Saccharomyces cerevisiae S288C: one gene and its partners. The main gene of each other region encodes a partner of the protein of the gene in region 4 in a complex. Each region holds a gene or a part of one and is shown on either strand. Other genes may lie near its edges. A codon is read from its position in the direction of its gene.

Region 1 (4,640 bases), on a different chromosome or scaffold from region 4:
TGAGAATCTTGGAAGTCGTCCTTTTTGTCAGCAAACCAACCCTTTATGTCATCCAAAGACCAGTTACTGTTGTCAAAGTATTTTTGGTAGTCTTTTGGCAGGATCTTGAGTTTTTCGTTTCTGGATTTTTTGACTAATTCTCTCAATTGATGTTCAGTAGACAGCATTGAGTACTTAATACCACGAGCATCTAAAAACATTTTCAATTTGTCCTTTGGCCAAGAGTCTAGGCCAACCAAAAAAGTATCATTGATCACATTGTCAGTCTTACCTCTGAACTTGGAGTACAAATTTGTGAGGAAATTTTTAGAAGAGTCCCAAACGGAACCAACGTATTCTGGGGTCTTGGTCAAAAATGGAGAAGACTCTCTTTTCATATAGTCCAGGTACCAGTAGATATCATCTTTCAAATTGGCAGAATTTTCTTTGGCCATTCTAACCAAATAGTCGTGTTTCTTGGCCATGTTCTTGTCAATATTGACCTTGTGGCTCTCCAACCAATTGGTTAACTGATCACTAGACCACTTGTCAAATACAGTGTCTTTTATTTGTCCCGATGTGTCTAATATTTGTTGGTGAGCCAAATCCAAGCTTTCTAGCAAACCCAGACGCTGCTGTTCTGCCTTTTCTGAAGTTCGGTAGATGTTTTCCTTGACTTTCTGAACTAGCTCGTCCTTGCTTTGAACTGCCTTGTCGTAGTCGATACCATTGTCATTCAACCAGTTTTGCAAATCTTTGGTTGACCAGCTATCAAAGTAAGAGCTAGAAGGATAGTATCCCGACGACTTCAAAGATTTGGAAATCTTGTTGAAGTTCTCCTTAGCAGTCTTCACCAGCGAGTCCTTGGAAGCCTTAGCGTCGTCAACATCCACGCCGTTTTTCTTCAAGAAGTTACGTAGACTGTCTGTGGACCAGGTGTCAAAGAGCCAGTCAGAAACTGGGTGATCCGAAGAACCAGTATAACCAAACCATCCGGGGTTACTGTTGCTCACGCTACTGCTGTCACTAGACCACACCTGCCACCATGGTTTGGGCTGCGCGTGTTTGTCCCATACCTGCGATGCCTCCGTTTTCAAGTCCTCAATGGAGTCTGTAGCGTACTTTTCCAAGCTCTTCTTATTATCACGTAAATAATCGGCCAGGTCTTCCTGCGTCCACTTGTCGAACACTGAATCTGAATTGGCCAACACTAAGCCAATAAGCACAAATGATGCGGAAACCGCATTAACCAACTTGAATTGCTTCATCTTCTTCTCTTAATTAACAGTTCTTTTGTAGTTGTCTCCTCTTCTATTGCAGATCCTCTTCTAAACTCCGGTAATCTAATCATGCTAGGAATACGACTCCATGAGTGGCTTTAAATACCCTGTCGATCCCCTTTCACCGCCTCCTTGTTTCCTCCCTCTCCCTTATTTTCCTTCAGTTCCAAAGATCCCTTATTCTTCCCCTCTAAGGTGAGGCCGGCGTAATGCTGTTGCTTACCGACGTAATGGTGGAAAAGGTGAAAAAAGTGAAAATAGTGATATTCTTAGAGAAAAACGAAAACAACAAGTCGTGTCAAGAGGTAGTGTTTTGGGAAAGACGTCATAGAGAAAGGCAGAAAGCTTGTAAAGAAGTGGAAATAAAGATTGAAGATGAACTCGTTAGCTTCAAACACACCGCTAAATGGTACTCCAGTAAGCGAGGCACCCGCCACAAGCTCCGAGCCTGTGAACATGTTCGAGACAATGGTGGCTAACCCTATTAAAGTGTCTCGATTACAGTCTAATGGAGTTCTGACGGGACCTGCAGCCAATACTAAGTCCATCCACTATTCGCTGGCCAATTTTAATGTGTTCCAGTCGCTACCCAAGGAAACGGCCAGAGGTGTAGACGATTTGACGAGGATGGAGATGGCGTTACTGAGTGGGATACCGGAGGAGATTAAGTGGTCTTTAAAAAAATATCTTACGTATAGTAACAAGGCGCCATATATGATCAGCTTACGGACATTGCCGGACCTGTTGCCACTTTTCAAGACTTTCATATTGCCTTTGGAGCGCATCGTGGAAGGTCTTAACAAATCGTCTATATGTGATTCAAAGGCGATGGATTCTCTACAAATGGGTCTAAATGCCTTGCTGATCCTAAGGAATCTGGCTCAAGATACTGATTCGGTGCAGATACTAGTCAAGGATCGAGAAATCAAATCTTTCATTCTTTTCATTTTGAAGAAGTTTCAGTGCGTCGCTACAGGCGATAACAAGTGGCAATTGTACGAAGGAAATGCAACTTTTTTTAACGAGTTGACCCATTATACTCTGGACTTGATGGAGGCCATTTCGTCCTATATTGCTCCTGCAATGAAGGATGATCATTATTTCCAAACGCTGGTGTCCATCTTGAACTACACTAAGGACAGATACATGGTTATTTCTATATTGAGGTCTCTTTCAAGATTACTGGTTAGGTCCAAAGCTAACGAGGAAAGTGCAGCGGACAATTTGGACCATAAGACTCTTTCGTTGATCGTTTCCTTTTTACTGTTAGAATGCGATAGTGAGCTGATTATTGCTTCGTTGGATTTCCTCTATCAATACATTTTGCCCGGTTCTCAAAGAATCACTGAGTTATTCAAGAGTAAGGAGTGCTCTTTGATACTGGAAGCCACGCTGCCTAATTTATTATCATATAATATCGCCACACCAGATTACCATCTTTTGCAAAAGCACAAAATTAGGTTGATTAAAAGGTTGAAGCCTCCCGCTCCAAAGGAGCCTCCCAATTTATCTGAGGATCTGTTTCAACAACTTTTCAAACTTAACGAGCCCTTGAGGTCAACCGCTTGGTTGAGATGTTGCTTTGAGCCTGTACAAGAAGCAGAATTTACACAAATATCGCTTTGGAGATCCTACGAATCCAAATTTGGTCAGCCTGTTCGCGAATCCGGACGCAAATTGTTACCTGCCGTGGAATTCATCAAGAATGTCTCGAATGCTTTCAATAACGCCGCTGCTATCGTAATCACTGACCCGGTAACCGGCAAGAAAAGGTTTGTTATCAAGGGCATTCAACCAAGATTTAAAGCTTTGGGTATTGCAGACGGGGAAAGAGAATCCCAGGTACCCATTTCGGCACTAAAATCCAAATTTTTGAATGACTCTAAGGAAATTACACCTGCAAGACAAAACAGCATACCAGAGGTCAAATTCCCTCAAGAACTCTCAGATGTTTCTAAAGTGGCCTGTACGTTTTTGTGCCTTTTATCCAACGACACGGATGATGGTGCTGGTTCCGCATTTTGTCAACGCATCAGGCCACTGGTTCTACATAAATTGGCTGATATTCCACCTTTAACATTAGCATTGTCTGAATACATGGAAAACACGTCGGGGTTATGAATGAGAAAAAAAATCGGTTGGGCTTAACTTTAAAGAAAAAAGTTGAGATTAGATTTATTGTGTTATAAATATAGATATACAATTCTTTATAAAAAAAATATATATATATATCATTGTTATTAAATAAAGAGTTTTCCTAGTATATAGATTAAAAAACTACTCTATTAAATGAGAGCTAAAAAAAGCAGGCTGCCAAAAAAATAAAGCATTTATGAAGGGGGTTCAGCAAGATGCAATCGATGGGGGAAGATTATTTTTTAACATCGTAAGATCTTCTAAATTTGTCATCGATGTTGGTCAAGTAGTAAACACCACTTTGCAAATGCTCAATGGAACCTTGAGGTTTGAAGTTCTTCTTCAAATGGGCATTTTCTCTCAATTCGATGGCAGCTTCGTAATCCTTTGGAGTTTCGGTGATTCTCTTGGCTAATTTGTTAGTAATATCTAATTCCTTGATAATATGTTGGACGTCACCAACAATTTTGCAAGAATATAGAGATGCAGCTAAACCGGAACCGTAAGAAAATAAACCAACACGCTTGCCTTGTAAGTCGTCAGATCCAACATAGTTTAATAGAGATGCAAAGGCGGCATAAACAGATGCGGTGTACATGTTACCTGTGTTTGTTGGAACAATCAAAGATTGGGCAACTCTCTCTTTGTGGAATGGCTTAGCAACATTAACAAAAGTTTTTTCAATGTTCTTATCGGTTAAAGATTCGTCATAATCGCGAGTAGCTAATTCGGCGTCAACTTCTGGGAACAATTGAGGATTGGCTCTGAAATCGTTATATAGTAATCTACCGTATGATTTTGTGACCAATTTACAGGTTGGAACATGGAAAACGTTGTAGTCGAAATATTTCAAAACGTTCAAAGCATCCGAACCAGCGGGATCGCTAACCAACCCTTTAGAAATAGCCTTCTTGGAATAACTCTTGTAAACTTGATCAAGAGCCTTGACGTAACAAGTTAATGAAAAATGACCATCGACGTAAGGATATTCGCTGGTGAAATCTGGCTTGTAAAAATCGTAGGCGTGTTCCATGTAAGAAGCTCTTACAGAGTCAAATACAATTGGAGCATCAGGACCGATCCACATAGCAACAGTACCGGCACCACCGGTTGGTCTTGCGGCACCCTTATCGTAGATGGCAATATCACCGCAAACTACAATGGCGTCTCTACCATCCCATGCGTTAGATTCAATCCAGTTCAAAGAGTTGAACAACGCGTTGGTACCACCGTAACAGGCATTAA
Region 2 (7,517 bases), on a different chromosome or scaffold from region 4:
CTCTCTGATCGATGACCTGAACGAGCAGAAACTCAAGCAGCAGCTGAATATCGAGAAGACAAAATACTTCCAAGGAAAAAATGGCGGATCGCTGCACTCCAATACAGACTTTCAGGACACATCGCAGAATATCGAAGACAACAATAACGATAACGATAACGATATCGATGAAGATGACGACATGTCATCTTACAACGACAAAGCAGCCTCGGTAGCGCACACCAGAGTCCTCAATTCCTTGCATCTGTCCACCGACAGCAATACCGCCCACGAGACGTCCAATGCAAACGACAACCACAACCCCTTCTACATCCGCGAGGAATAATAGCATATCCGCATACGCACACGCACACGCACACGCGCACGCATCCACATTCACTTTCACTTATAAAATTTCTTCTCTCTAGTTTTATATACGTTGTATTAGAAATATAAAATATGACAATAGTACACTTTGTAGGCTCTCTTTTTTTTTTTTTTTTTTTTTCTTATATATTTTTTTACAATGACCACGGTTTGTACACCTGGGGCTGCAATTTTGCAATGGAGTCGCCTTCGCCTACTTCCTCGCCTTCCTTGCCTACACGTTTCACGCCATGTCCTGTGGCCGTATTGCCGTCTTCGTCATCGCCCTCCTGGTCCTTCTCCACTAGTTGTATGCCCGAGTCTACTTGCTCCGAGATCAGTACCAGTTTCTTCGACACATTCAACTCCTCCAGCGACTTGTTCAGGTCAAGAATCTGTTTACTCAGTGATAATCGGTCGTTCAGCATCTTTTCAGATTCCTTCACATATTTCAGTTTTTCCATCTCCAGTTGCGTTTCTAGATCGCACAGCTTTGTAAACTTGCTCTCTAATTTCTCCATGGTCAGCTTGACTAACTCTTGGATTATCGCTTGGCTTTCTTCAATGTACTTTTCGGAGATCTCTCTCGACTTATCAGAGACCTTACCCAATTTGTCGTCGCCTTGCAGTAGCGTCTGGACAGCATCATTCACGCATTCCATCAACTTCGAACCGGACACACTACCATCGCGGCTGTCGCCACCCTTACCATTCAGCGTTGAACCAACAACTTCTCGGATGTAGTTGTCCTCGATCGGTAAGCTTAGGAATTTTTCAATGCAGTCTTCTACACGCTTGTGCCCACCCACGTGGTCAGCAATCTTCTCCCACTGGTCTTCATACATTTCAATACCCTCCAGCAATAGTAGCATCTCCTGGTCTGACCAGTTTTTTTTAACCGAGTTTCCGTTGTTTTCTAATCTGATGAAATCTGAAGATTGAAAGTTGGCACCGAAATGACCCTCTTGGAAACAACGGGAGCACAGGTTGGTGTCCCGTGCACGCAAATTGTGGTAGCGCACATTGATTGACTCGTTACCGCATGTATGGCAAATGTAAACTTTGTGAATCTGCCTGGAGTTTCTACTTTCGTCTTGTAATGCATTGAAGTCTTGTGCAGAATCGTAAACGTTCTTCTTGATTGTGAGATTAACGGGAAATTCCTTCTTGACTTGTGGTTCCGCTCCATCTCCTCCTTCCACTTCTTGCTTGATCACATTCTCTGGTAAAAATGGCTTTAACCCCTGCGGAGTGTCCAGAACCACTTGGAAGTGGCCCGTAAAACTTGGCCCAATAAGACTGGGCTTGGTCCTGGGGTCAATCTGATAATTGATTAAGCCCCATTTTTCCAAGAACGCGTGAATCTTCACTATCGAGGCAACATCCATGGCAACATTTCTTCTCACAGCGGTAATGGTCAAATATTCGTACGGCGAAAGACGGTACGTGTTGATGATAAAATTTCTTGTGTCCTTATATGCCTTTGGTGTCTTGAACCTTGATGAATCGTTGAAAAAGTCGGGATTGGATCTTTTTTCGATCTCGTGGATCTTCGAAATATCAAACCAAGAGGCAAACGACGGAATAATCACCGGGTGAGTTTGCTTTGCCAGGAACCTAAGGGCCTTCTCCTCCAGTTTCTGTGCTTCTTGCTCGTAATTGATTTTCTTATGAGCTACTTCTGCTCCCAATGTGGCAGATTCCTCCTTCGCCTGTTCCTGTGCTAAGTGAGGGAAAGATGGCGTGTTGGTGCTTGTGGTGGGTGGCTCCTCGGTCGCTTCGTGCGAGTCTACCATAGGGACATCCTTATCCTTTTCAGTGTCGCTCATTATCCTGGCCTTCTATCTACTCTTTGCTTCTCTGCTCTACCCTTCTCTCTATAAACCTCACGAACTAATTCAATGTTGATGAAACTTATTTTTTCCAACTTTTTTACATCAAGCGGGTGACAAAGAGAACGCCGTAATTAAATTATCATAGAAAAGAGTAACGGATTAAGGAAGTATCAAATTTGGCGATGAGATGAGCAGATGCTCAAACGCGGCGCTGATGACTGTTGTTGAGGATGCTGTTGGGGCCAGGGTGGCTGCAAGGACGAGAAACATGAGCAATGGCGTCAATTACCGGGAGAAGGAAGTCAATGACCTAACGGCTGACATTTCAGATTCAGATTCAGATTTGGATTCAGAGGACAATAAACATGGCAAAGGCGACAATGACACTGCCCCCATATGGTTACAAGATGATGTGCATTCAGACGAAGATATTCAGCTGGACTCAGAGGACGATTCCGATACAGAAGCTGTTCAAGCCCAAGTGGTGGATAAATTGGCAAAAGACACGAAATCAGAGCAAAAATCCTTGGATGATGAGCTCTCCGAGATGGATACCAAGACGGTTTCTTTAAAACTTAAGAAACTAAACGAGTTTGTGAGGCAGAGTCAGGTATATTCCAGTATAATCGCCGATACTTTACTACATCGATCTAATGAAGTGGCTAACGCTAATACAAAAGATAACAGCAACTCTGATGATGAAGAACATTCTTCAAAAAAACGTAAAACAAAAAAAAAATCAATAACAGATTTCTTCAAAAAACAGAAAAAGAACGAAGATACAACCACCCAAAACGGCGCACCAGACGATGCAGCAATAAAGCAACCTCGCCTATTGAAAAACTGTATTTTAAAACCTTACCAACTAGAAGGTCTTAACTGGCTGATCACTCTTTATGAAAATGGCCTGAACGGAATTCTTGCCGATGAAATGGGTCTTGGTAAGACTGTTCAAAGTATTGCTCTTTTGGCGTTCATATATGAAATGGACACAAAGGGTCCTTTTCTAGTGACTGCACCATTAAGCACCCTAGATAATTGGATGAACGAATTTGCAAAATTCGCTCCTGATCTACCAGTTCTAAAATATTATGGGACCAATGGTTATAAGGAACGTTCTGCCAAGTTGAAAAATTTCTTTAAACAACACGGCGGCACGGGGATCGTCATCACATCATATGAAATTATTTTAAGAGATACCGACTTAATCATGAGTCAAAATTGGAAATTTTTAATTGTTGATGAAGGCCACCGTCTGAAAAATATAAACTGTAGATTGATTAAAGAGTTAAAAAAAATCAATACTTCCAATAGACTGCTACTAACAGGGACGCCTTTACAAAATAACCTAGCTGAATTATGGTCACTTTTGAATTTCATAATGCCCGATATCTTTGCCGATTTCGAGATATTCAATAAATGGTTTGACTTCGACAGCTTAAATTTAGGCTCCGGTTCCAACTCTGAAGCATTGAATAAGTTAATCAACGATGAACTACAGAAAAATTTGATTTCCAATTTACACACAATTCTGAAACCATTCCTTTTGAGAAGATTGAAAAAAGTTGTTTTGGCTAATATTCTGCCGCCAAAGAGAGAATATATCATAAATTGTCCGATGACGTCTGCACAGGAAAAATTCTATAAGGCTGGATTGAATGGAAAGTTGAAAAAAACCATGTTCAAAGAATTAATCAAGGATTTTTTCACATTGAACGATGAATACATCGGCCACGTTTCTAATCGGTCCATACGAGATTTCATCAATTATAAACTATCTGGTAATGAAACTTCAAATACAGACAATAAAATCAATCCAACCTTGTTGCAAATGGACAAACTATATAAGAAGAACCTGCAAATGGAAATTTCAAATAAGAAATTGCAAAATATGATGATGCAATTGAGACAAATCATTGACTCAACTTTTTTGTTTTATTTCCCATATTTACACCCAGAAGACTTGACTTTGGAAACTCTTTTAAAGACGTCTGGGAAATTACAAATCTTACAAAAATTAATCCCCCCATTAATATCTGAGGGGCACAAAGTGCTTATTTATTCTCAGTTTGTTAACATGCTCGATTTGATCGAAGATTGGTGTGATTTAAATTCGTTCGCGACATTTCGAATTGATGGTTCAGTAAACAATGAAACAAGAAAGGATCAACTCGAGAAGTTTAATAGCTCGAAAGATAAGCATAACATTTTCCTATTGTCCACAAGGGCGGCAGGACTGGGTATTAATCTAGTCGGGGCAGATACAGTTGTCTTGTTTGATAGTGATTGGAATCCACAGGTGGATTTACAAGCCATGGACAGGTGTCACCGTATTGGCCAAGAATCACCGGTTATAGTATATAGGTTGTGTTGTGATAACACCATTGAACATGTTATATTGACCAGAGCGGCCAATAAGCGAAATTTGGAAAGAATGGTTATCCAGATGGGAAAATTCAATAACCTGAAAAAATTGGCGTTAAATGAAGGTTCTTTTTTGAAGGCAAACAAAGCGGGTGTTAATGTCACTAATAAGGACTTAGTCCAGGAGTTATCTATGCTTTTAATGAGCGATGAATCCAATATAGGCTTTGAAAATGGGGGACAGAAAGAAAATAAGGCTACTGAGGGCCAACTGACTGATAAGGAGGTTGAAGAATTGACCAACAGATCTCTTGAAGCGTACAAGGCCAACAGAGTCGTAGATCTGCCGCACGTCAAGCTATTTGAAACAACCTCCGGTCTTTAACTTGGTTATCATACAATATTGTTTTTATTAAATGTTTGTATATATGTACATATACATACCTATATATTGATCAATGTTCTTGCCGTACAAATTCTTCCTCTAGTTGTTCCTTTAGTTCACGGTTTTTGAATAAAGTATCCGCAGTATTCATTCGTTGCAGAAAGGTATCTTGAATATTATTTTTTGTGTTCTGGAAATCAGCTTTTAGTTTAGTAATCCATTCCAGTATCAAAGTCATATCCAGATCATGTTTTACCAGACGGTTCCTCTCAGAAATAACTTTCTTTTTCAATTCCATGAAACGGAGCCAGTTGGAATGATTCTCTTCTATATAGGCAGGATCGTATTGATCTTCCAAATGGAGACCTCTGACGTCCATATATGCCATTCTTTGCGACCATTGACTTATCATTACATCGCCCCACTCTTCGTACACTTCGACGTTTTCAAGACGAATCGATTCTGCCAGTTTAGCCATTTCGGTAAGAAAAGAATCTAATGAATGAAACAGTGATTTTTCAAAGTCTAACAAATGTATTTTATAATTCTTCAGTATCGATGTGATAGATGATTTGGTAATGTAAGCTTCCAGTTCAACTTGACCCGATTCATCAAAATACTTTATTTTATTTTGCACAGGATCGAATTTAGAGGTACAATTAATATCTTTGATTTTTGAATCTAGAAACACTAATTGCTCATTAACGGTAGTGTTAAGGTCATCAAGATTCCTAGTGATTTCTATAGATTTATTTTGCACCTCGGCCTCGAACACAGACTGTATCTCTGAATCCAAAAGTGCCATCGCACTGTGTATTTTCGAATCTATAGCCTTAATCCATGCTTCATATTCCATTTTTAATGATTCTGCCTCGTAAGTTTCCAATTCTGCATGGCTATTGGAACCAATGATAATCTTTGACAAATCCTGCAAAATAGCAGCAGTGACGAGTTGTGAGTTCCCGTGGCCATCCTGTACTCCATCGAACTCGTATTCTTTATTTTCATCCTCAATTCCGACATCATCCTCATCCTCATCTTCATCCTCATCCTCATTTTCATTCTCATCATCCTCATAATCCTCTGTTTCCGAGTCTGTCTCAAAAATGGGTTTGGTGAGCGTGCCATCAGCGCTAAAGGAGCCGTATTTCATCCAATCCGTAGAGGAGTTAAATGGATTCTCTAGTACATTCTTCACATTGTCTGTATATGGCTTTAAATAGTACCAGGCAATCCTTAGATGATTTAATAAAGGTCCCAACTTGGAATGTAGCGAACAGCAGAGCTCATTTAGCCTTAGAAAAGAGAAAATATTGTACCAAAAGCGGTAAAAATATCCCATAATTCTCTTCAAGGATGAGTTGGGGTATCTTTCAATCAGTGGTTTTATCGATTGTGAGTACTTTCCAACTAAATAGTCAGAAACCGCTGAACCTTCAACCAATTTAGAATCGAATAGTGAGCCAACTGAAAATTCAGTATGCCGGCAAATGGGCTGTAAATCTGTGGCAAAGCTTCCCAGACCATTTTGCTGACAGACCAGATACCTTGCAATAAACACGCAAGCCAGCAAAGCAGTCGTTACTTTGAAAACGGCCTTCATGATTTTTAGTAAAGAACTAACCACCTTTTTCTTAGTTAAGAAAAGGTCAATCAGTAACAGAAATATGATAGTAGCAACACCCAAAAAAATGCTATCTTCCAATAGTCAAAAAGGAAGCCTCGATGCCATACAAGTCTCTTCTAAAGTACTATTATGTAATTCCTGTTAAATGATACCTGTATTGTGGCTTAAAAGGGCCGAAATGACAACAAAATGAGTAGGGTTAATTTAATTTTTAAAGAGGGCATTTATCTAAAAAATGAAAGACAACTATAGGGCTGGTAATTATAGAATAGGTCTTAGTAGGGTTATCCCTTCCTCTAGAAAAAAAGAAAGAAAAATAATTTTAAGTGGCCAATTAGAACCAAAACCAACAGTATCGTGGTATCATACGCTCCAAAGCAACTAGAAGAAAGGCCTTATTTGACCATTGGATTCAGTATTTTTTCTCCAAGTAGCGGTTAAAAGACTGAGAGACTAAAGCTAGATAGTGGGTTTGAGTGACTATCCCCTTTTTTCCTCCTCTTTTTTTATTATTTTGATTTTATTTCATTTTGATTTTATTTCAACACGATTAAGACACAAGCGTTACTTCCCTAGACTATAGTCTCTGCCGTTCCCATTCTATTGATTTTTGGAGCAGCAGTTTTTACAAAAGAAAAGAAAAAAAAGACGAAAACAACAAGCCAGAGTAAAGATGTCGTTTTGGCCATTTGGACAGAATCTTAATCACTCTAATATTAATAAGATCCTAGATGAATATTTTCATGTGCTACACGAACTGGAAAGGATTAACCCAAGCGTTGGTAAAGCCATTCCCGCTATTTTCAACAACGTTCAGGAACGAGGTACAAGTGACTCCCTAGATTCTATTCCGGAGGAGTATAGTCATGGTGATGAAGTGAAAACGGCACGTGGAGATCAGAAGAGTCGATTTGAGAAGGATGATCAGCAAGAACGGTATGAGAAAGAGGAAGAGGAACGG
Region 3 (7,115 bases), on a different chromosome or scaffold from region 4:
TCCGCTCCTTTAATTTATTTTACCGCAAATAGAAAGTTGATGGTTGTTCATGACGAAAATGGTGTGGTAAGAGCACCTGCCGATGTTAACGCCATTGCTGATGAAACCACTCCATTGAACTCCAAGCACAGTAAAATAGTTGATTTTACTAACAGTCGTTTGTTGACCTATACCTCTGTTTTCGTATGGGCTTTAATCGGGAGCTTGAATTGCTATTTGGTGATTTCCTATCTCTTAGGTGCCGACATCCATTTTTAATGGAACCTATTTATTGTCAAGTGTGTCGTTTTCTCTCGATTCTTGTTTTCTCTCATTTCTTTATTCTGCATAATACAACCCAAGTATATACTTACGTATGCATAGCCTTCAGAACAAATGCATACTTTATCTAATATCAAAATATAAACATACATTAGTCAAAAAAGACTTGATGAGCTTTCATGAAACTAAAACAAAGATAATTCATTATTTATCTTTGATTCCACTACCGCTGACACTATTTATTTCTTGTGTTTCCGTTTACGACCTGGTTGCGCCCTTACCACAGGTATGCTACCATTATAGTTTGTTTGTAATACTGGAAAGGCCCTTACATTGTTTATAGGAACCTTGGAAACCTTCTTTGCTAAGATAACCTCCTTTAGTATTCTTTTCACTTTGAAGTATAATTCTCGTTCCTCCGTAGTAGGCTTCAAAACTTTATTTAAAATCCTCTCCTTTCTAAGTCTTTTAAGTTTTAAGAGAGAGTCTGAAACCAACTTATCTGGTGTGCCATTTCGAAAGTTCTCAATTTCGTCATCTCCAATGTAATTAGATGGTGTCCAATTATATAAGTTTTGAAGCTTGATTATGAATTGTTCCTTATTCTCAGTACTCTCTGAATTTGCAGAAGCGATAGTCGCATCATTATCATTATCACCACCATCGTCCTGAACGCCATTGCTTTTGCCGTCAACATTTTTGTTGTTTTCATCGTTCTGCTTCCTGTTTATGCCTTCTTCATTCGTGTTCAGTAATTCTTCTTGTTTTACTTTCTTTTCATTTTTTTCATACAAGTCCATATAACCAATTCTTTCAAGCCAAATAAGACCCCTTGTTGTCGAATCCACAACGGTGCCGTTTTCATTAAAGGAAGGTGCCCAAGAATTATAATTACCATATTTTAGCCAGACGGTTGTAGGTAAAGCATACCAATTTGGATGCAAAAATCTAGTCATCATTTCAGTTGGTGGTAACGTAGGGTCCGGAATATTACTAGTATTAGCGCCTACAAATCCTAATCTTGGAGCTTCGTTTTCTATATCAGTTTGAGGTAAGACGTTGTTTATTTTGAAGTTTGTATTAGGAAGTTCATGAGGTCTTTTGTCAAGATTAGATTTAGAAATTATCGAAGAAAAAAGGTCCATATCCTTCGTTCTTATCTGATATGTTTGAGAAATCGGCACTGTGTAATTCATAGAAATCTTAATAAAATCATAAGAGATTATTTTGTCTAGTTCTGTTGCATCGTCATCGTCGTATTCATCCATCTCGTTTCCGCTCAACAACTTACCACTTCTTGATTTAATATTATTAGTTTGCGTTAGAGCAATTCCTATCCTACAACATTCTCGTAATAAAAGCTCTGAAGAAAATTTGTAGAACTTGTCGACTAATTGGTAGTTTCTTGTACCCTGAGGATAAAAGTGAATGAGGATTGTACAAACCAGCTTAATGTCGTGATACAGCTTATAAAACCCACCTTGTATGGGTTCGTACTCTCCATTTTCAAACCTCTTATTGATAGTTGTCAAAACTAATTTATCTTCATTACGTATCAAACCTTCAGAGTTACTTCTATTTTTAATGAATTTACAATATGATTCATATATCTTATCCGGATTTTTCTCAAAGAACTTGGCTGGAAAACTTTCATCTACTACATGACATTTCACAGAGGCAGCATTCAAAATGGATTGAACATTTACCAAAAAATCTACTAGTTTATTTCCACCTACACTTTCTGTCATAATGAAAACTTTCGATTTTCAAAATTATCTCTTATTTGATCCCGACTGATGATGATTTTCTTCGTCTTCGTATTTCTATCGTCCATGCCTTATGGCGCTGTTTTATTTTCTTAATTGTTTTTTTAATAATTGCAACTTAAAAATACGGGTAACGGAAAAGGAAGATAATAGAAGTTGCATGAAGTAGCTGAAGAATAATTAGTTCTTTCGGGTTGAAAATAATAATAAATAAAGTCTTTATATATGAGTATGTGGTATGACTATTCAAACAGCATCTGGATTTCTTCAATTCTCCTTTTTCTTCTCTCGTCTTCGTCTGTGTCCATGGCCTCACCGATGGTTCTCTTCTTTTCTTGAATGCGTAGCATTTTTTCTTCTATGCTATCTTGTATGATAAATCTCATAACTTTGACGCTGTTTGTCTGGCCAATTCTATGCAGTCTATCGATTGCCTGATCTTCCATACTGGGCGACCACCATGGGTCCATCATATAAGCGTGGGAAGCACACGTTAGATTCAAACCCACGCCACCAGCCTTCAGCGAGAGTAATAGGATTTTTTGCCTGCTATAGTCTTTAACGGCAAAATCTGCTAATACACTAGTTCTTTCTTTTAATGAGAGACGTCCATCGAATTTATAAATTTTTGCAACATCTTTTGAGAAAGTATGAGTTAGCTCTTTCTCCAGGATATCCAAGTATGTAGAAAATTGGGAAAAAATGACAACTTGTTCGCCTGCCGAACTATCCTGTAGCAATTGAAGCTCCTTCAATAAAGCAGTGATTTTGCTTGATTTGGAGGCTGGTGAATATGGTTTGAATTCCAAATTTTTCGAGTTGCTATTCGTTTGTACCAATGCCAACAACCGACAAGCGTCTATTTGGTTACGGCAATTGGGGCACTTTAAACCCAAATTCTTACTGTTCTGAAACTCAATATATTCAAATAAACATTTCTCACAAAAACTGTGGCCGCATTCTGTAAATAAAGCCTTGTCCAAATCCATAGGTTCCGTTGTGCAGATGGAGCACTCTAAGGACTGAAACGATTTATTGTCTGGATATTTAACTTTTAATCTTTGTATCATTGCATCTAATTCCTCCTTAGAAAATGAGTTATCGAATCTCTCGGAAACAACACGCATTAAAGAGTCAAGCTCCACCGTTTGTTCCGTAACCAATTTATTATTTTTAGATAAATCCTCATCGTTCTCATCTTGACTCCCAATAAGACCGGGATGGCAACAGACTTGCCTCAATCTTAAAATATGGACAAGGATAGTGGAGTACTTTTTCAATAAATCACCGCGTGCAATACCCGATTTAACAGAAACTTCAGCCTTATCCAACAGAAACTTGTATAGAAGATCTTGAGATTTACTGAAGGGAAGTCTTTTAATAACGACCTCCTTTGGTGGCAACTCTACTAATGGCTTACCATCTTTATCTTTCATTTGTTTTGTCCTTCTTAACAATACGGGTTCCAGAATTGCATTCACCACATCAAATGCTTGTTTGTAATTTTTACTCTCAAAAGGCGTTGATACAAAGGTCTTCCAGTAATTAATTTGCCGCCAGGGATCTAACTCTAAAAACTTAACCAGACTGTATAAATCGTCAAGCCTGTTAATAATTGGTGTTCCTGTTAAAACCCATTTACATTTGCCTTGTAAAGCCATGACTGCTTTAGATGTAACTGTCGTTCTGTTTCTAATGTTATGACCCTCGTCGATTATTATGCGATAAAAATTGACAGAAAATAAGCCTGAAGATATATTGACGTCCTCATCTGTCATCCTTCCCTTGGAATGTTTAGTCCATTCATTTTGAACAATACCATATGTAGTAAGGACTACAGTTGGAGGGGTTTTTGTCTTGGTTAATAGGGTTTTCAAACTGGAAACATTCCCACCATAATACACCTCATGATACATATCGGGGGAATTATTAGCTTTTGTAAACTCGTTACTCCACTGCGTTAACAAAGACATTGGGACCACGATTAGCGTTGTTTTTGAAGCATATGGTTTCTTATTATCTTGCCAAGTGCTTGGAAGATTATCTGAGACTGCTGTGTTCTCAATATCAAACAGTTTCTTGTCAACAACATCACTATCGTGAGGACAAGATAAAACTAAAGAATACGCTGCCACTGTTTTACCCAACCCCATTTCATCTGATAATATGCCACCCTTTATCATAGTTTTTAATATAGGTTTTGCTAGCGAAAATTCACCAGAATGTAAGTTCGCATAAAAGAATATGCCATCTTCAACGTTTACATGGTCCTGCTGCAAATTTTGAGCTGCCCACGACATATCATTTGGCCATTTGAACTGCTTCCATAATGGGTTTATCATATTAGCACCCGTTTCTGAAGCCTCACCATCAGAGGCTGCTTTGGCAAACTCTTGCTCCCTCCTTAGCATCCAAGTAAGACCTTGCTTTTGATAATTTCTTAGTTCTAGCTTGAAGACATCGCGAGAAGGTTCTGTTTCAGGCAAACTTTTTAAAGATTCTGATGATTGTGCGGCCTTATAAAATGTTTTCAATTGATTCAAGTTCATTGTTTCTTCTTCGTGCTGAGTATCTCGGAGATTGTTATGGACTTCAGTCACTTGATTAGAGCAAATCTCGTCGTTATCTAAATCAATGATTTCGGGGTCACTATTAAGCTCTATTTTATGCTTTTCTAATGCCTTCTGCTCGTCCAAAATAGGCTTTAGCCTCAATTTATCAAATAACTTTAGTAGAGCCAGTCTTTTCGAGCGGCTTTCTAGCTCTTCATCAGTTTCAGTCAATGTTCTTCCAAAATTTCCATTGTCTTTCTCTCTTTTATTTCCTCCCTCTGTACGTCTTCTTTTCATCAAGGATTCTCCATCATTACGTTCCTCAAAAATGAGAGATGTTAAAAAGCAATCCAATTGTAGAATAAAGCTATCACCTATACTCAACCGTTTATTATCACAAAAAATCAATGTAACTTCAAAACTTATTTCGTGTGAACTTAAAAGAGGGTATAGTATTTGAGCAATGTCTTCCGAAACTCTGCCAATTTCTCTATCATATTGGATATCAAAAATTCTTACCAAACTAGCCATGGACGCTTTCTTTCTACCACGTGAGTCATATACTTTAGTAGCAGAAATCTCTTCACTTGATCTCTTTAGCTTCATCTGAGAGCCGTACTTCAAGGGCCTGACGGTGGGTCTGGTAGCCATACCAGTGACTTGCAAAGCACCTATAAATCTTTTCCAAGTAACTTTATCTTCTAATCGTGTTTGGTTTCTGAACCCGTATATTCTTCTTCTTTTAGGATGGAATGAAGATGGGGACAAGGTTGAATTTGAGGTATCTGAGAGTGTATTTAGTTGATTCGGGGAAGACGGTATTTTGCTGATAGACGTCCCGCTATTGTGATCAAAGTAATGTGATAATGCTAAAGAGAGCCCTTCCTCCTGACTGCCGAATTTTTCATTAAGTTCCATCACAAGATCCTTTGGCATTTCTGGAATAATCCTTAAAAGCTCTGTAATAAACTGATTCTGGCCTTCTTCTTCTATTTCTCGCCTGACTGGCACAATAGATCGGTCTCCCTCTCCTTCTGTTGTATCACTCACTGATACAACAACATCATCATCATCATCATTATGACTATTTGCAAATAAAAACGACTCTTTATTCTCAGATTTGAAGTTTAACGATGTTTCTGAAGTGTCAAGGTCATCGTTAAAAAACCTCTTCCTTTCTTCCTGTTCAATATGACTCATATTGTGATACTGTAAGACTTTAGGTGTGTTTCTAAGGCCTTTTGATAATGTAACTTTGTAGATAATTTACTTTCAAGTGAGCAATGCGCTTAGCAGTAAGGAATAATGTGTGGAAAAGTTAAGGGTTTATGACGCGTAAAATTTTCAGCCAGACGACGCGCCAACTAACATGTAAGAAAGTAATAATTTATGAAAATTTAACTACTTATTGATTACTTAATCTTCTAATACAAGTATTTTTTGTTTCTAGAATAGAATTCAATCTATTTATCCGTGCAGAAAGGTCCAGAATGAGGGGTTTTACTTCATTTTGATTTACAAAGCCTTGCTCTTCTGCAGTTAATCTTTTGGATTTCTCTCTGATTATCTCAGAAAGAAACTCTATTATCACTGAACTTTTCTTTCTTCTCTCATTTTCCAACATCAGAAAAAGCAATTCGTTGTCAGTGTCCTGCGATAAAGTTCTTAACTTTTTCTCCAGGTCTTGTCTTCTTTTGATGGACTCTCGTACCCGAAAGCAAAGATTATTTAGTTTGGCTAATTGAAAATTTCTTTCTTTAATAGCAGCTAGCTCGCCTCCTTGGATTAACTCTGATGCAGATTCAAATTTAGATTCAAAGCTCTTTTCCAAAAACTGTAAAGTGTTCCATTTATCCCTTAAGGGATCATCATGCTTTTCAAATTCAAAGGCATCTAGAACATCAGAAACCTTAGTACCATGAAAGTCGATATTGGGATAAGAAGTTCTCGTATTTAAGACCGGCATAATAGGAGTTACTGGAACTGATGTGTTTACAGATGTAAAACCATCTGTTTCACTCAACTTCTTTTCAAGTTTGTTAATATTATTCTTAGCTTCAGCCTTCCTATGCTTATTTAGTATGTTTTCGAGGCGTATAATCTCAGTGATTAATCTGTTTTGTTCCCTTTGAAGATTTTTTTTTTTTCCTTCATCGAAGCTACCTTTATATTTTGGGCTGCTGAGTCAAACCGTTCTTCGCCAGATTGCAAATCCTCTCTTTCAGTCAAATTACCACACGTACTAATCTCTAAAGGGCTATGTTCATCTTCACCCGGTTTTAACGAAACGAAGCTGTCAGAAGAGCGTTTGTTTTCCGCCAAAGAAGTGTTTTTAAATGAAGAAAGCTCAGAATTGATATTGCCCTGCTCCAACACTTGTATAGGGGGGGTCTCTTCAAAGGAGAACAGGCCATACCTTTTGGAATCTCCTTCAGGACTCTTTTCATGTTCACTAGTCAGGTTTTCTCGGACATTCTGCTCGTTAAGATTATCAACTTCACCCAGGAGGCCTTCTCCCCGGTTACGTGCCTCCGAT
Region 4 (6,971 bases):
ATATTCCTGCCTTTTTCAATAAAAGTTGTAACGATTATGCTCCTTCAGTTGCCATCCAATTACACTCCACTTTACTTTCTTGCCTGGACATAATTTCTGACTTGTGCAAATTCAATCATGTTAGAAAATTCTTAATTTCGTATGACTCTGTGAAAATATTGGTATCTCTCTTGGATACTTTCCAAAAGAATTTGTTGAGGATTAATTTTTTGAAAGGAAACGGTGATACGGTGAATGAAATTAAAATCACAGATCATGAAGGTAACAAAATCGAGGACCGGTTATTAATTTTCAACCGTGTTAATACCAACGAATCCTTTATTAGGGCTGATAATTTTCCCCATTGTAAATTAGTAATAATCGAAATATTGGCATCGTTAGTGTATGCACATCCTGAAATCCAAGATCAAATAAGAGAATTAGGTGGTCTTGCATTAATTCTTTCCAATTGTGTCATCGATGATAATGATCCGTTTATCAAGGAAAGATCTATTGTTTGCTTGAAGTTTTTGTTAAAGAATAATGCCAAGAATCAGGAATATGTCAAAAAAATGGAAGCTCAAGACGTTGTTCAAGACGATGCATTGAGCAAAGCTGGGTTTGAAATATCAGTTGAAAAGGGCGGGAAAGTTAGATTAGTATCTAAAGAAGAAGACCCTGGGAACGAGAATTCTGAGATTATTAGCATAGATGAAGATTAATTTTATGGTTCCTTACTCTCGCAATCATGATTCACTTTGATTAACATTAAGGATAATCGTACTTCATACTCTCTATTAATTATAGAATTCTATATGTTATATAAGATAAAATATATTCATTAAAAAGGAAGATCTTATAATTTCATTTTAGCAAGTTCTTCTTCAATAGCGTTTTTGACCAATTCAACGTCAGCTCTTTCGATGAATTTTAATTTCTTCTTTAATGTGGATAGTTTCTTCAATTCCTCAGGCAAAACATCCTTTTCAAATGAATAATTGGAAAATCCAGACAATGCATTGTTTACAGCATCGGCAAATTTAGCTGGGTGAGCGGTAGATAGAGAAATGTATTGGATGGACTTGTCATTATCTTTTGCAATCAATCTTTCTGTGGCGCAAACACCGACAGCTGTGTGAGGATCTAAGATGTAATGTTTTGGATTTACAGATGATTCGTAGATCTTCTTGATTGTTTCAGATGTTTCTTCATTGGAAACTCTTTCTGATGTAAAGTCCTTTGATGCGCCTTCAATGATGGATTTGTCAACTTGGAACTTACCGTTGGTCTTCAATTCCTGGAACCAATTGTTGACGATTTCACCGGCTTTCAAATCATCACCATTAGCTAGGTATTCACGAGCTAGGTACCATAGTAGTCTTTCAAAGTTAGAAGAGATTAAGATATCCATTGCTGGGGATAAAGTAGCAGCAACCTTGTCTGATCTTTCGTATAGACCAGATTTCAAAAATCTGTCCAAAATGTCGTTTTCATTGGTAGCGATGGCCAGTTTTTCAATAGGCAAACCCATTTTCTTGGCAAAATAACCGGCCAATATATCACCGAAGTTCCCACTTGGCACAACGAACTTGACCTTCTTGGAGTCCTTACCGTTGGTGGCTTGGAAGAATGAATAAAAGTAATAGGTCATTTGGGCCAAGATTCTTGCCCAGTTGATGGAGTTAACAGCACCGACGTTGTGTTTAGAGTTGAATTCTTTGTCACCGAAAATAGCTTTGACGATATCTTGACAGTTGTCGAAAGTACCGGTAACAGACAAAGTCTGGACGTTTTCATCTGGAACGGTGGTCATTTGTTCTTCTTGAATTGGGGAAATTCTACCGGTTGGATATAAGATGAAAACGGAAACGTCCTTTTTGCCTCTTAAACCGTAGATGGCTGCAGAACCAGTGTCACCGGAAGTAGCACCGACCACAGTGATTTGCTTTTTCTCGCCTTCAGGTAAATTGGCGTTGGTTCTTTGTAAGAAGTATTCAAAAAGATTACCGACAAATTGTAAAGCAACGTCTTTGAAAGCGTAGGTAGGACCGTGGAATAATTCTAAAATGTGCAAATTCTCCTTGTCACCAGTGACGTTTTGCACCAAGGGGGTGACTTCATCAGAACGGAAAGTAGAATAAGATCTCTTGATCAAGTCCTTTAGATCAGCATCTGGAATCTCTTCTTGGGCAATGTATAGTCTCATGATAGCAAAGGCTAAGTCTTGGAAGGAGAGCTTTGACCAATCATTGAAAAGAGTGGCTTGGTCCACTTGTGGAATAGTTGGTGGAATGAAAAGACCACCGTCAGTGGCCAGACCTTGAATGATAGCCTCTTCAAAAGAGATTGTCTTTGGAGAGCTGGATCTGGTAGATCTGTAAACTTGGGAAGCGTTAGGCATTGGTGTGAGGGATGGTGGCCGTCTAAGAACAAATATTTGCTGCTATACTACCAAATGGAAAAATATAAGATACACAATATAGATAGTATTAAAAAAACGTGTATACGTTATTGATAGAAATGACTATACATTTTGTCGAAAATTTTTCATTTTCTTCTATTTCCTCGTTGTAATGACTCTTTTGTTCGCACGGTCACTACTCACGAGGAGGCGTGCAATAATTGCAGAAAGAATGAGATCATACAGTGATGTTATAGTCTTCCTTGGGAGTACAGTAGTGAGATATTGCCCATTAGTGACCTGTCATTGTTGTTGTTACTGTATATGTCACTCGTTCTTGCAGCATCTTCATTGAAGTATTGGTCGCCCTGCAGCACAAGCTCGTTTTGCTTGGAAGACCATAAGTAGTGAGTCAGCGTTTCTCTTGGATGCAAAGACAGTTCGTGGAAAAACTGGTATTTTTGAGCACTAGAGTTCAACTGCAAGGCAAGCTTTGTGATTTCACGTAGTTTTGCTGTGTCTTCAGCATCTGTTTCTTCCTCTTTTTGTAAATTTGGCTGGGGTTGAGGCTGGTGGAGAATGTGCGACACATCTACATCCAAGGTGGTAGCACCATAGGTGGTATCTTTGGAAAGATCAATTGTATAATCTAGGATGATGGGCGGTAGGGGTGATACCAGTTTGTTCACGGTTTGCACAACATTCATCAAGGGGAGGTGCGCGGCGTTTGTATCCAATACCTTTTGTAAGAGTGAATCTAGCTTCACTTCACCCAATTCGGGCTTATCCTTTGGAGTACTTCCCTCGACGCCATCATCGTCACCAGCACCGTTTTTATTGTTATTCTCGTTACTGCTGTCTTCGGCATCGTTGGAACCATCTTGAGCCTCTGTTTGTTCCGTAACAAACAGATTGTTGATCAAAATGTACTTGTAGATCGAATAAACCGCGTCATTAACGGAGCCCGTTTGCATACCTATCAAGGTAGCTAAGTTGGGCGAGTACTGTACTTTTCCACCGTCGACACCCCTCAACTGGATGGTTATACTGCATCGCAAATTATCCTTGCCTTGCCTCTTGATGTCGATACCATCAAACTCCACAACGTTGTTTTCATCGTAGTTCCATTCCAGTGCGTCTACAATTTCCTCCCTGGATTCTGCCTCTGCACTGTCCTCATCCTCGCCGTTGTCGTTATCGCCCATGGTGCTATCTTGATCATTGTATTCGGGTTGTTGCAGATTCAAAGGAAGGCTCAATGACGAATCGCGTTTCCTCTTCTTGCCCATGCCCAGCGGTTTCAGTCTTTTAAAGTCGACCGCGACACCTTCCAAAAACTCACTAAATGGGTGCTTTCCGTTTGCGGACTCGTGCAGAAGCTTACCTTCTATTCTCAGTGTCCATGTAGTCTTGCCTGAGTCCGCTGGGGTGCCAGAATCGCTGCGAGGGCTGCTTTCCGTAGTGTTGTAGACGTAAATCCTCAGCATCTCTTTATTGGGGGGATGGTCCTTGGTCTTGGTGTTTGTAGGTAAATTGATGGACGTATCCAGCCTCCTTCTTGTCAGATACAAATCTAGTCTGGAATCCATTTCTATCAATTTTTTCAAATCTGCCAGATTGGAGACCTTATCATCGGGCAGATACGTGGGGATATAAGCATCCGTTGGATATGTAACAGGGACCGGATTGGTCTGTGTTACCATTTCTATGAGCTGTTTTTCGTGCTGTATTACTATACGAAGCTGCCTTGTGAACTGTATATTTGTTGCTTTTCTTTCACTCTACAACGTTTTTTTCATTCTATTTAAAAACGCGGTGAAATTTTACCTTGTAAGAACGTCTATTAATGTACAGAAAAGATACATAAGGGAAAAGACTATGTAAGAGAAAGAAGTAGTTCATGTAGCGTCGCGTTCAATTTCTTTTAGCAAGCTGTAAGAGCCTTTGTGCTGGGTCGTTATTTTCTTCTCTTGGAATCTGGTTCGTCCCCGGAACCCGCCATGGAGCCCTGGCCCAGCATCTGCTCTCTGACCATAGCACGGATGTACCTTTCCAACTCCTCCTCAGCGTTGTCTCCCGTAATGATCTGTTCCAACTGCCTCCTGCGTTGCAGAGTGGCCTCATCGGCTCCTTCCTCAGGGTCATTTTCCAAGGTGTATCTCACGTTGTCCTTGAACTCTTCCAGCAATTTGCTGTCGATGACACCCTCACCCTGCACGCCGTCCACTCCGTGAACATCGGCCACGCCGGACTTAATCCTCATGTACTCGATTAGCTCACCATCTTCACCGTTCTCGACGAACGAGTCGTATGGCGTTTGGCCCTCCACATTCCTGATAGTGAAGTCTCCACCCAGCTCTTCCACGATCAACCTGGCAGTGGCCACATCCTCCACATGGTGCAACGGGGTATCGCCGTCGTTGTCCAACACATTAATGTCTCCATTGTACTCATTGCACATTTTCTTCAGCAAATCCAGGTGGCCGTATGCGGCGGCAGCATGCATTGGAGTGTAGCCGTTAATGTCCTTGGATTGCGGGGTCATGGCGCCTTTACTCTCGCGGAGGATATGTTCCACTCGGTCCAAATTACCATCTGAAGCAGCCACCCATATATTAGCGTTCATTTTGTCGTCACAACACCTATAATCATCGATTTTTGTCACCTGCAAACTCTTCTTGTTCTCAATTATATCAAAGGCATCGAAAATTTTTGGGGTTATGACAAGGAAAAAAAAAGTATTACCCGAAACTTAAACAATGAATGGTATATACTATATTGTAAAGTTCTAATAATATATATAAATATGTATATAGATATATATATAGACCTAGGAGCTCTTTGCCCCTGTCTTTGACCACGGTGGAGCGGACGCCCATTCCCTATTGTATATCTATCAAGGGCTTGCGAGGGACACACGTGGTATGGTGGCAGTTCATAAGGTCAGGTACAACGTCATAATGATACTGGGCCCTGAACAGACACCAAACGAAAAGACAACGTTGGACAACTGCGGTCTTGCCCGTAGAAACTTGGTGTTGCTCAAAGCAGTCCACACAAACTGCGACAGTTGGAACATGAACAGATATCCTCTAACCCTTCTGAAAATGGCGAACATGGCCATTTCGTGGAACACGGCACTCAAGAAAAAAGTAAATAATGTAGCTTGGCTCTTGCTCAAATGCAATGCGCCCATGGAGCTGTGGTACACGTGTCTTAGTAAAAATTTGTGAACGGGGACGTTCCAGATTCTGCTAAACTCTTCAAACGAAACGCAATTCCACCAGTCGCCGTAGAAATATCTGTCCGCAAACCTGGTCAACTCCGCCACGCAATTCAATAAAGCGTCCCATATCATGTAAAACGTGAGCATGTACAGAACAGTGAAGCCCGGAATCATGTCGAAGAGCAGGTGGAACCACTCTTGCGTGGCGGGGATCCAGCCGCCGAAGGTGGGCGTGTTGTGGAACTGGATACAGCGCATGGCCACCGGGTGCATGAAGAACTGTGCCGTGACCATCATGAGGAAGATGGTGCCAATGATGGCGCACACCTTCTCCAACACATACCTCCATCTGATGCGCGACGTTCTTGGGTAGTTGATCTGGTACACGAGGACGGGGAACAAACAGAACATGAAGAAATTGCTGCAACTGATGTTGTTGGGGAAGTCGTTATCCTTGGTCTGGTAGTTCAATTCGAAAAGGCAAAAGTCGCAACTTTTTTGCAGAATCTCGCGGGTCTCTGGGGACAAAGATTCCTTGTATTTTTGCAACTGTTTGGAAGAGTACTCGAGTTCCTGCTTTATGTCCCAAAGATACCCGTTGTAAAAGGCAAACGAGTGGCTCTTCATAACAAACACCACGGAGTGCAGGAACAGGAAGATTCTCGTGACCCAGTTGAAATCAAAGTAGTAGACGTAAATGGGGAACGTCACGGGGATGAAAGCCAACTCGAAGATGCTCACTGCAACGAACCCAGTCCACTTCCAGTTGATGATCCGCTTTTTCACCAGCCAGTGCACGAAAACCACGAAGAAAGTGCACAGGAACATTGCCAAGTCCAACATTGCGATCGTGAACAAGTCCGTTGTCATGTACTGCACGATTTCCAGCTTATTCCATGCACTGCCGTACGACGCATAGTAATCTGTGCAGCACCTGATGGCTATCCAGCCCAAGAACATCCATGCGAACACGTAGATCCCTGAAAAGTTCGACTCCAGTTTTTCTCCTGGGGGGGCATCTGCCTTGTCCGTTTTCTCCGTAGTCTTCACCGTAGTCTTCACCGTGGCCTTGGTCTTGGTCTTTGTCAACTGTAAATTTTTGAGCTGTTTCTCCAGCACCGGACCTTTGAAAGTCGTCTGGAAGGGCACGTTGATGGCGCTGTCCAGGAGCGTGGGGCGAGGATCAAAACTCACGTCCCCAAAAAACGACACATACTTGCTAGCATCCTTTCGGTGGAACCTCGACCGAGACTTGCTCTTCAGGTGTGAAAGGTACTTTTGCATGTGGGCGTCCACAGGGTACTCCTCCTCCTGCTCCTGCTTCCCTGCCACACGTTCCGCCTCAGTCGACTCCACTCCTTCAGT

The links.
Region 1: the proteins of RSC6 (region 4) and RSC9 are in contact, whole or in part, in a cryo-EM structure (PDB 6V8O), measured with the Saccharomyces cerevisiae proteins. Residues at the interface, in NP_009981.1 of Saccharomyces cerevisiae: Gln4 (codon at 4,074), Thr5 (codon at 4,071), Asn6 (codon at 4,068), Pro7 (codon at 4,065), Asp15 (codon at 4,041), Ala16 (codon at 4,038), Tyr17 (codon at 4,035), Thr20 (codon at 4,026), Tyr21 (codon at 4,023), Asp24 (codon at 4,014), Leu45 (codon at 3,951), Thr48 (codon at 3,942), Arg49 (codon at 3,939), Leu52 (codon at 3,930), Asp53 (codon at 3,927), Thr54 (codon at 3,924), Ser55 (codon at 3,921), Ile56 (codon at 3,918), Asn57 (codon at 3,915), Leu58 (codon at 3,912), Thr221 (codon at 3,423), Gln223 (codon at 3,417), Val227 (codon at 3,405), Asp228 (codon at 3,402), Gly229 (codon at 3,399), Gly230 (codon at 3,396), Val232 (codon at 3,390), Val249 (codon at 3,339), Asn250 (codon at 3,336), Val253 (codon at 3,327); in NP_013579.1 of Saccharomyces cerevisiae: Lys143 (codon at 2,061), Ser144 (codon at 2,064), Ile146 (codon at 2,070), Cys147 (codon at 2,073), Asp148 (codon at 2,076), Ser149 (codon at 2,079), Met152 (codon at 2,088), Gly201 (codon at 2,235), Asn203 (codon at 2,241), Gln206 (codon at 2,250), Leu207 (codon at 2,253), Tyr208 (codon at 2,256), Glu209 (codon at 2,259), Tyr252 (codon at 2,388), Thr253 (codon at 2,391), Lys254 (codon at 2,394), Asp255 (codon at 2,397), Arg256 (codon at 2,400), Ser294 (codon at 2,514), Leu297 (codon at 2,523), Glu299 (codon at 2,529), Cys300 (codon at 2,532), Asp301 (codon at 2,535), Ser302 (codon at 2,538), Glu331 (codon at 2,625), Leu334 (codon at 2,634), Ile335 (codon at 2,637), Ala338 (codon at 2,646), Thr339 (codon at 2,649), Asn342 (codon at 2,658).
Region 2: the proteins of RSC6 (region 4) and RSC8 are in contact, whole or in part, in a cryo-EM structure (PDB 6K15), measured with the Saccharomyces cerevisiae proteins. Residues at the interface, in NP_009981.1 of Saccharomyces cerevisiae: Leu22 (codon at 4,020), Lys26 (codon at 4,008), Val27 (codon at 4,005), Asn29 (codon at 3,999), Leu30 (codon at 3,996), Leu33 (codon at 3,987), Leu36 (codon at 3,978), Met39 (codon at 3,969), Asp40 (codon at 3,966), Leu43 (codon at 3,957), Asp44 (codon at 3,954), Tyr46 (codon at 3,948), Leu47 (codon at 3,945), Arg50 (codon at 3,936), Arg51 (codon at 3,933), Glu394 (codon at 2,904), Asp395 (codon at 2,901), Lys398 (codon at 2,892), Glu401 (codon at 2,883), Ile402 (codon at 2,880), Leu405 (codon at 2,871), Gln408 (codon at 2,862), Leu409 (codon at 2,859), Ser412 (codon at 2,850), Lys415 (codon at 2,841), Tyr416 (codon at 2,838), Phe419 (codon at 2,829), His420 (codon at 2,826), Leu422 (codon at 2,820), Ser423 (codon at 2,817); in NP_116695.3 of Saccharomyces cerevisiae: Pro176 (codon at 1,649), Ser177 (codon at 1,646), Leu178 (codon at 1,643), Gly180 (codon at 1,637), Pro181 (codon at 1,634), Ser182 (codon at 1,631), Phe183 (codon at 1,628), Gln239 (codon at 1,460), Trp334 (codon at 1,175), Glu335 (codon at 1,172), Val347 (codon at 1,136), Glu348 (codon at 1,133), Ile351 (codon at 1,124), Glu352 (codon at 1,121), Leu355 (codon at 1,112), Ser356 (codon at 1,109), Pro358 (codon at 1,103), Glu360 (codon at 1,097), Asp361 (codon at 1,094), Arg365 (codon at 1,082), Met390 (codon at 1,007), Asn394 (codon at 995), Val397 (codon at 986), Gln398 (codon at 983), Leu401 (codon at 974), Leu407 (codon at 956), Val410 (codon at 947), Ser411 (codon at 944), Ser414 (codon at 935), Arg415 (codon at 932).
Region 3: the proteins of RSC6 (region 4) and RSC58 are in contact, whole or in part, in a cryo-EM structure (PDB 6V8O), measured with the Saccharomyces cerevisiae proteins. Residues at the interface, in NP_009981.1 of Saccharomyces cerevisiae: Pro7 (codon at 4,065), Val8 (codon at 4,062), Pro9 (codon at 4,059), Val10 (codon at 4,056), Thr11 (codon at 4,053), Tyr12 (codon at 4,050), Pro13 (codon at 4,047), Thr14 (codon at 4,044), Asp15 (codon at 4,041), Ala16 (codon at 4,038), Tyr17 (codon at 4,035), Asp40 (codon at 3,966), Ser41 (codon at 3,963), Asp44 (codon at 3,954), Leu45 (codon at 3,951), Leu47 (codon at 3,945), Thr48 (codon at 3,942), Arg51 (codon at 3,933), Asp392 (codon at 2,910), Asp395 (codon at 2,901), Thr396 (codon at 2,898), Leu399 (codon at 2,889), Arg400 (codon at 2,886), Lys404 (codon at 2,874), Leu407 (codon at 2,865), Gln408 (codon at 2,862), Asn410 (codon at 2,856), Ser411 (codon at 2,853), Gln414 (codon at 2,844), Val443 (codon at 2,757); in NP_013133.1 of Saccharomyces cerevisiae: Thr262 (codon at 1,226), Glu263 (codon at 1,223), Met264 (codon at 1,220), Met265 (codon at 1,217), Thr266 (codon at 1,214), Phe268 (codon at 1,208), His270 (codon at 1,202), Asn272 (codon at 1,196), Trp273 (codon at 1,193), Val280 (codon at 1,172), Trp281 (codon at 1,169), Leu282 (codon at 1,166), Lys283 (codon at 1,163), Tyr284 (codon at 1,160), Asn286 (codon at 1,154), Tyr287 (codon at 1,151), Asn288 (codon at 1,148), Ser289 (codon at 1,145), Trp290 (codon at 1,142), Ser293 (codon at 1,133), Phe294 (codon at 1,130), Glu296 (codon at 1,124), Ser303 (codon at 1,103), Thr304 (codon at 1,100), Gly307 (codon at 1,091), Leu308 (codon at 1,088), Trp310 (codon at 1,082), Leu311 (codon at 1,079), Glu312 (codon at 1,076), Gly315 (codon at 1,067).

Annotation. Positions count from the first base shown.
Region 1 is NC_001145.3:15,430-20,069, forward strand, and holds RSC9 (Rsc9p), read left to right. Parts: upstream 1-1,634; coding exon 1,635-3,380; downstream 3,381-4,640. Other genes in the region: double-strand break repair enhancer MSC1, read right to left, coding at 1-1,247; ERG13 (hydroxymethylglutaryl-CoA synthase), read right to left, coding at 3,631-4,640.
Region 2 is NC_001138.5:227,013-234,529, forward strand, and holds RSC8 (Rsc8p), read right to left. Parts: upstream 2,175-7,517; coding exon 501-2,174; downstream 1-500. Other genes in the region: anaphase promoting complex subunit CDC26, read left to right, coding at 1-325; IRC5 (putative ATPase), read left to right, coding at 2,368-4,929; OSW7 (Osw7p), read right to left, coding at 5,000-6,532; SAP155 (Sap155p), read left to right, coding at 7,230-7,517.
Region 3 is NC_001144.5:203,655-210,769, reverse strand, and holds RSC58 (Rsc58p), read right to left. Parts: upstream 2,010-7,115; coding exon 501-2,009; downstream 1-500. Other genes in the region: putative divalent metal ion transporter SMF3, read left to right, coding at 1-258; DNA helicase RAD5, read right to left, coding at 2,270-5,779; YLR031W (uncharacterized protein), read right to left, coding at 5,985-6,545; YLR030W (uncharacterized protein), read right to left, coding at 6,689-7,115. UniProt on the Saccharomyces cerevisiae protein: Component of the chromatin structure-remodeling complex (RSC), which is involved in transcription regulation and nucleosome positioning. RSC is responsible for the transfer of a histone octamer from a nucleosome core particle to naked DNA.
Region 4 is NC_001135.5:212,106-219,076, reverse strand, and holds RSC6 (Rsc6p), read right to left. Parts: upstream 4,084-6,971; coding exon 2,632-4,083; downstream 1-2,631. Other genes in the region: CTR86 (Ctr86p), read left to right, coding at 1-701; threonine synthase THR4, read right to left, coding at 836-2,380; YCR051W (uncharacterized protein), read right to left, coding at 4,338-5,006; YCR050C (uncharacterized protein), read left to right, coding at 5,305-5,613; ARE1 (sterol acyltransferase), read right to left, coding at 5,316-6,971. UniProt on the Saccharomyces cerevisiae protein: Component of the chromatin structure-remodeling complex (RSC), which is involved in transcription regulation and nucleosome positioning. RSC is responsible for the transfer of a histone octamer from a nucleosome core particle to naked DNA.